Linked DNA regions of Struthio camelus. The protein of the gene in region 1 interacts with the protein of each later gene in a biochemical or structural test. Links are inferred from orthologs where the notes say so. Each region holds a gene or a part of one and is shown on either strand. Other genes may lie near its edges.

Region 1 (3,739 bases):
CTACTTTAAACTCTTGGGAGCAATTTCACTCTAGGCTGAGTCTCTCGTCATTAAAAATTAATAACTAGTTGAGACGGGAAAAGGGCCACAGTTTCTTAAGGAGTTCATGAGCACCAAAAAAAAAAAAAAAGTATGAGACAGGAAGCATAATTTAGAAGTAGATTATTTTAAAAGAACATTACCACAAGAGTAAGAAGTGGAATTTGTCCCAATGTGTCCCTAATTTAGGTACCTACATCTCAGCTAAATGCCTAACTCCCACTGTCATCAATAGTCACCGGAGAACAAGTACAGCGACCAAAGGTAAGCAAATGGTTTAGGAGAGGAGGAATTGCCTCTAAATACCCCCGACTATATTGATTAGGTCTCTACAGCTACAAAAGGAGGCCAAAATAACTTGCTCGATTGGCAGATGCCTAAAACTAGGTGAGGTAAACCCCACTCTAAATATCACAGCTAATGAATGACATGCATGAGTCATAGGTGAGAGTTATTGCATGAAGTTGCATTGTGTTTACACAGCGGTAAAAAACAAAAAAGCCGTTTTTCTCCACAAAGCAAGATATGTGCATCTTCACGTTGCACGCACGTCAGCTCTCATTCTCTTAACCGTGCTCCTGCTCCTCTCAGTAGCTTCTGAACACACCAACTAATTTCAGTCTAACGGGAAAGGAAAGTTTTCGCCTACATCATGTTCCTAAAAGACTCAAGAAAACTAGGGATGGGAAAGGAGGAAAAATTCAACAACTCCATTAAGAAAAAGCTTGAAGGGTGAACTCCAACCACCCATCCAGCTTGTCTACTGTCCCATCTGCACGCACAGCTCAAAACCTTTTGTACTACCTGCTGCTTTTGCCCAGCCTCTTACGGGACACGAGGGGAACTACAGCACGGTCTCGAAGAAGCAAAGGGAGGAAGAAGGCACAGGAAATGCTATGGTTAGAGACCAGGGGAATATTGTCACTGGAGAGTGGCATTATCAGGGTGCATGTTTGTGCAGAACGCAGGACACAAATCTCCAAGAAAGCAGACTTCATTAGTTCCGTTGCTCAGGGAACAACTTGTTTGCTTATGCAACTATTGTACATGCGTTTACCCTTCAAGCCACTCTGATGTAGGCCTTCATGTTAGCGTGCTGTTTTCGATCCGCATTGTAGTCCAGTATGGTCTAACCATTCTCAGAAAAACGGAGTAGAAAATGAAAGCCAAGAAGCTGAAAATCTTTTGAATTAGGGACCTCACATTCCAAACAGTCTGTAAAATACTTCGAAAAGTATTCGCGCTACATGAACAATATAAAAACACTCCATCCCAGGCTTTGCTACAGGCTTTGCCATCTTGTGCATCGCTCCCGTTTCTCCATCGATGAATTGTAAAGCATACTCTCCTACCACACAGTAATGCAGCAAAGATTGGGCAGCTATGATCATAAACATACTTACAACCCAAATAGCAGAACAGGATAAGAGAAGACTGAATGTAGTAGTGGTAGTGTTTTCAAATTCAGAGCCACTGGACTAAAGTTATTTTATAGTTATTTATTATCAATGCTATATGCCAATTATCTTTTACATTTTTCTGCTGGAGATGGGCAGGTTTGTACATGCTTGCCAGCTACAGCTTAACCTCCTAGGTTAAAAACTTATCACTGGTCTTTTTCAAGTCTTCTAACATGAAGGCATACATGAAGAAGAAATTGCATATTTTTTAAATGCATAATTTTGCCAGCTCGCTGGCAAAAAGAAGAAGAAGAAAGGCTGTCTGAAAGGTAGGTCCTGCTTTATTCCCTCACCATTACACACCTCTCAAAAGACTCCACCGTTGCAACGTCCAGGCTCTAGCCTACCTGCCTGCTATTGCCTTTGCCAGTGGGAAAGCTCCCAGGTAGCAGCTATGGGATAGACAACTTCAGTGTCCGGTCCTATTTAAACAAATATTTTCCTTTTACTAAAAAAAAATTAGCAATAATAAAAAAGAACTCTGTGAACGTCCCCCAAAATTCAAAAGAGAAACGTCCAACTAGAACAATTCCTTAGGCAAGTTTATTCAAGAGAACCCATCGGAACAGCTCACAAGGCTAGTCTCAACTCACGTCAGCCACGAAGCTCACAAGCCTGCCACCTCCAACACGCGTTTTTACACCCCTGTTTTGTACTTCGCGAGACTTGGCTTGCGCGCAGATCCCTACCACCAAGCTCCAGCCCCCTCTAATACCTGCGGATTTGAAAGCCTACCTAGGAGTATTTGTGCGGTTAAGGACACAAGCTCCTAAGGCGACGCCTCGGCACGCTAAAAAGGCTTCTGCGAGGAGAGCTCGTTTTGAGAGCAGCCCGAAAGGGGCAGCGGCAGGGGAGCACGGCGGGGGGCGAGACCCCCGCTCCGGGCAGCCCCCCCCCGGGCGCAGACGGCACCATTATCCCCCCCAGCGCCGCATCCGAGACGCGCTTTCAAAGCCCGAGTCAGCCGGAGCCTCCAGAACACGCCGGAGCAGTAACAAACATCACGGCAGAACGGCCAGCCCGGGGAGGGGGCTGGAGCAGCCCCCCGCTCGGCACCTCGGGGCCCACAAGGCAAAGCCGAGGGGTGAAGGTGACCCGAGGCGCCCCCCCCCCCCCCGCGGGCGGCCCCGCAGGCCCCGGCTGGCCGCCACGGCCCCGCGGCGCGGCCTGGCCGCTCCCCGGCCGGTACAAAGGGTAAAACGGCGGCGGGAAGGGTTGGGGGGGGGGGGGGGAAGCGGCAGGGCCGGGCCCGCGGCGCCCGCCCGCTCTCCCTCCCTCCCTCCCTGCCGCCTCACGGCGCCCGGCGCCCCGCCGCGCCACCTGCAGCGCCCCGCCGCCCGCCTAGGCCGCGCCGCCGCCGCCGCCCCCTACTCACTCTCCGCCCGGCTCCGGCCGCAGCAGGCCGCCAGCACCACGGCCACGGCCAGCGCCGCCGCCGCCGCTCTCGGTCCCATGCCCGCGTCGCTGGAGCTGCAGCCGCCGCCGCTGCTCGGCTCGGCGCGTCCCGGCAGGGGCGAATCAGAGGCGGCGGGGCGGGCGCGGGGGCCGGGCCCGGCTCCGGCTCCGCATCGTCGGGAAGAGCCCCGCGCTGCGCTGCGCAGCACCGCCGCCGCCTTTATAGCGCCCGGCCGGCGGCCCCAGGAAGCGGGGCGGCGGGCCCCTCCCTGCCCCGCGGCCCCGGCCCCGGCCGCTCCAGCTCCAGCTCCAGCTCCGGCTCCAGCGCAGGCCGGGCTGGCGGCTGCCTCCGCGGCCAGTAAACAAGGGGCTGCCCCCGTCAGCTGGGAGCGGAGCGGAGCGGGGCGGCGGCAAGAGGCGGCGCGGAGCCGCGCAGCGGACGGGACGGGACGGCGCCATCCACCTGCCGCCGCGCGCGGGCGGCCCTGAGGCGAGGGGCGGCGGCGGCGGCCGGTTCCAGCCGGTTCCGGCCAGGGCCGTTGGCGCCTCCGGCCCCGGCGCCTGCGGGGGGAACCGAAGGCAACAAGCGGCTGCGGTCTTTTGGCCTGCTGTGAAACGCCTCTGCCGCAGCTCGCATCGGGGATAAACGTTTGGGAGCGGCGGCTGCCAGCGGAGACGTTTCGGCCTCGCTGGCATCAAGCGAGGGGAACGTGGGGCAGTCGAGGCTTGCTGAAAGAGCTCGCCGTCCCTGCTGGCCTGAAGCCCGCCTGGAAAGCGGGGCCCTTCTCCCCACACGCTGACGTCTTACTGGCAGCTTTGCATCGCTTTCCCTCTTTCTCCCATTA
Region 2 (3,739 bases), on another chromosome or scaffold:
AGACCCCAACACGCTCCCCACATCCCCATAGGGCACCCCTAGACCCCAACACGCTCCCCACATCCCCATAGGGCACCCCTAGACCCCAACACGCTCCCCAGATCCCCATAGGGCACCCCTAGACCCCAACACGCTCCCCAGATCCCCATAGGGCACTCCTAGACCCCAACACGCTCCCTATACCCCTATAGGGCACTCCAACACCCCAACACACTCCCTACATCCCCATAGGGCTCCCCTAGACCCCACCACACTCCCCAGATCCCCATAGGGCACCCCTAGACCCCAGCATGCTCTCCAGATCCCTATAGGGCACCCCTAGACCCCAACACGCTCCCTACATCCCCATAGGGCACCCCTAGACCCCAACACGCTCCTTACATCCCCATAGGGCACCCCTAGACCCAACATGCTCCCCAGATCCCTACAGGGCACCCCTAGACCCCAACACGCTCCCTATACCCCTATAGGGCACTCCTAGACCCCAACATGCTCCCCACATCCCCATAGGGCACCCCTAGACCCAACATGCTCCCCAGATCCCTATAGGGCACCCCTAGACCCCAACACGCTCCCTATACCCCTATAGGGCACCCCTAGACCCCAACACGCTCCCTACATCCCCATAGGGCACCCCTAGACCCAACATGCTCCCTATACCCCTATAGGGCACCCCTAGACCCCAACATGCTCCCCACATCCCCATAGGGCACCCCTAGACCCAACATGCTCCCCAGATCCCTATAGGGCACCCCTAGACCCCAACACGCTCCCTATAGCCCTATAGGGCACCCCTAGACCCCACCACGCTCCCTACATCCCCATAGGGCACCCCTAGACCCCAACACGCTCCCCAGATCCCTATAGGGCACCCCTAGACCCCAACATGCTCCCTACATCCCCATAGGGCACCCCTAGACCCCAACACGCTCCCCAGATCCCTATAGGGTGCCCCTAGACCCCAACATGCCCCTGAGATCTCTATAGGGCACCCCTGGACCCCAACACGCCTCCCAGGTGCTATAAGGTCGATGGGGCACCCCTAGACCCCAACATGTACCCCAGATGCTATAGGGTCTACAGCACCCCCTCGCCAGCCAGCACACCCCCTTGTACCCTATAGGGCAGCCCCAGAGCCCACCACGTCCTGTGGATCCTATAGGGTCTCCAGAGCACCCACAGACCCCAGTAGGTTGCCTGGATGCTATAGGGGCTATAGGACCCCCTTGCAAGCCAGCACGGCCCCTTGATCCCCGCAGGGCACCCCACCACCCCACCCGCTCTCTGGGCGCAGTGGGGCACCCCGCATGCCTCTGCAGTCCCTATGGCATCTATAGGGCTCCCCAAGCAGCTAGTCCCTCCCCTCCACTCCCCCTACCCCCCTGGTTGCTATAGGGGCTACACAGCACCGCTATGCACCCCCAGCCCCTATAGGCTCCATACAGCGCTCCATTAAGAGACCAGTTTCCCCAGCAGCGGTGGTGCCTATGAGTCAGCAAAGGGCCCGTACAGCCTCGCCCGGGGCCCTATAGGGTCTGTACAGCCTCACCCTGTGCCCTATAGGGTCTGTACAGCCTCACCCCAGGCACTATAGGGCCTGTACAGCCTCACCCGGGGCCCTATAGGGTCTGTACAGCCTCGCCTGGGGCTCTATAGGGTCTGTACAGTCTCATCCCAGGCACTATAGGGTCTGTACAGCCTCACCCTGCGCCCTATAGGGTCTGTACAGCCTCGCCCCAGGCCCTATAGGGTCTGTACAGCCTTGCCCTGCGCCCTATAGGGTCTGTACAGCCTCACCCCAGGCCCTATAGGGTCTGTACAGCCTTGCCCTGCGCCCTATAGGGTCTGTACAGCCTCGCCCCAGGCCCTATAGGATCTGTACAGTCTCATCCCAGGCACTATAGGGTCCACACAGCCTTGTCCTGGGTACTATAGCATCTATATACCCTTGTCCTGGGCACTATAGGATCCATACAACCTGCTGTCTCATGCCTACAGGGTCTACGCAGCCTCCCCCCCAGGAGCTATAGGGTCTAGAGACCCCCCTCACCTGGCTGCCATAGGGTCTATACAGCCCCCTCAGTGCTATAGGGTCTCCACAACTGCTCTACACTGCCTCAGGGTCTATACAGCCCCCTCCCTGCTATAGGGTCTGCACGGACACCCCATAAACTATAGGGCTGGCACACCCCCCTCTATAAGCACATAGGGGCTTTAGCACCCTCTCGGCCGCTATAGGGTCCGTCGAGCCCCCCCCCAGCGCTATAGGGCCAATACAGCCTCCCCGCAGGTGCTATAGGGGCTACACCCCCCCAGACTCTATATGCCCCCCCTAGCGCTATAGGGCCCCCCCCAGGGATGCTATAGGGTCGATGCATCCTATCCTGGTGCTATAGGGCCCACGTGCCCCCCCCTCCCCCCCGGGATGCTATAGGGGGGCTGGCACACCTATAGGGCGGCTACAGGGCGCCGGGGGGGCTCTCACCGGGGCGTCGGGGCGCGACGGGGTCCCTCGGCGTCTGGCGGCTCCGCGTCGCCGCCGCCGGCTATTTATGGCCTGGGGGGGGGGAGGGCGGCCCGGACGCCTGGGCCCGCTGTGCTCCCCCCCCCCCCCCCCGCCCCGGACGCCTGGGTCCCTCCCTGCAGCGTCCTCTAAGCTTGGGCTTCCCGGACGCCTGGGCCCCTTCCCAAATCTCTGCGGTTCCTGCCAACGCCTCCTCCTTTTTTTTGGGGGGGGGGGGGCAGGGGGGGTCCCGGACGCCTGGGCCCCCCCCTCCTCCTCCTCCTCCCCCCACAGGCCGGATTGGGGTTGGGGTTGGGGGGGGGCGCGGACAGGGATTGACCGCCCGGAGCAGGTGGCACCGGCCCGGACGCCTGGGCCCCTGGTTGGGGAGGGGGGGGGCCGGACGCCTGGGCCCCTGGTTGGGGGGGGGGCCGGACGCCTGGGACCCTGGTTGGGGAGGGGGGGGGCCCGGACGCCTGGGCCCCTGGTTGGGGGGGGGGGCCGGACGCCTGGGACCCTGGTTGGGGAGGGGGGGGGCCGGACGCCTGGGCCCCTGGTTGGGGGGGGGGGGCCGGACGCCTGGGCCCCTGGTTGGGGGGGGGGCCGGACGCCTGGGACCCTGGTTGGGGAGGGGGGGGGCCGGACGCCTGGGCCCCTGGTTGGGGGGGGGGGGCCGGACGCCTGGGCCCCTGGTTGGGGGGGGGGCCGGACGCCTGGGACCCTGGTTGGGGAGGGGGGGGGCCGGACGCCTGGGCCCCTGGTTGGGGGGGGGGCCGGATGCCTGGGCTCCTGGTTGGGGAGGGGGGGGGCCGGACGCCTGGGCCCCTGGTTGGGGAGGGGGGGGCCGGACGCCTGGGCCCCTGGTTGGGGGGGGGGCCGGACGCCTGGGACCCTGGTTGGGGAGGGGGGGGGCCCGGACGCCTGGGCCCCTGGTTGGGGGGGGGGCCGGACGCCTGGGCCCCTGGTTGGGGAGGGGGGGGCCGGACGCCTGGGCTCTCCCTGCACCTGCTCAAGCCAGGCTGGGGGCTGCCCCCCCCCAGCGCCCCCCATAATGCTCCCAGTAACCCCCAGTATCCCCCCAGTAACCTCCAGTGCCCCCCACAACACCCCCAGGACCCCCCATTGTCCCCCAGTGCCCCCACAAGGCGCCCAGTAGACACCAGTGCCCCCCAAAATCTCCCAGTAACTCCCAGTAACCCCCAGTGCCCCCCACCATCCCCCCAGGAACCCCAGTGC

The links. The genes of interacting proteins can lie anywhere in the genome.
Region 2: the proteins of INSR (region 1) and TRIM72 form a complex in vitro, tested with the Homo sapiens proteins (2 studies listed by BioGRID). The link is inferred for Struthio camelus from reciprocal best matches to the Homo sapiens genes INSR and TRIM72.

What each region holds. Positions count from the first base shown.
Region 1 is NC_090967.1:5,524,115-5,527,853, reverse strand, and holds the start of INSR (insulin receptor), read right to left. Parts: upstream 3,025-3,739; 5' UTR 2,954-3,024; coding exon 2,875-2,953; intron 1-2,874. UniProt on the Homo sapiens protein: Receptor tyrosine kinase which mediates the pleiotropic actions of insulin.
Region 2 is NC_090973.1:292,677-296,415, forward strand, and holds the start of TRIM72 (tripartite motif-containing protein 72), read right to left. Parts: upstream 2,589-3,739; 5' UTR 2,486-2,588; intron 1-2,485. UniProt on the Homo sapiens protein: Muscle-specific E3 ubiquitin-protein ligase that plays a central role in cell membrane repair by nucleating the assembly of the repair machinery at injury sites.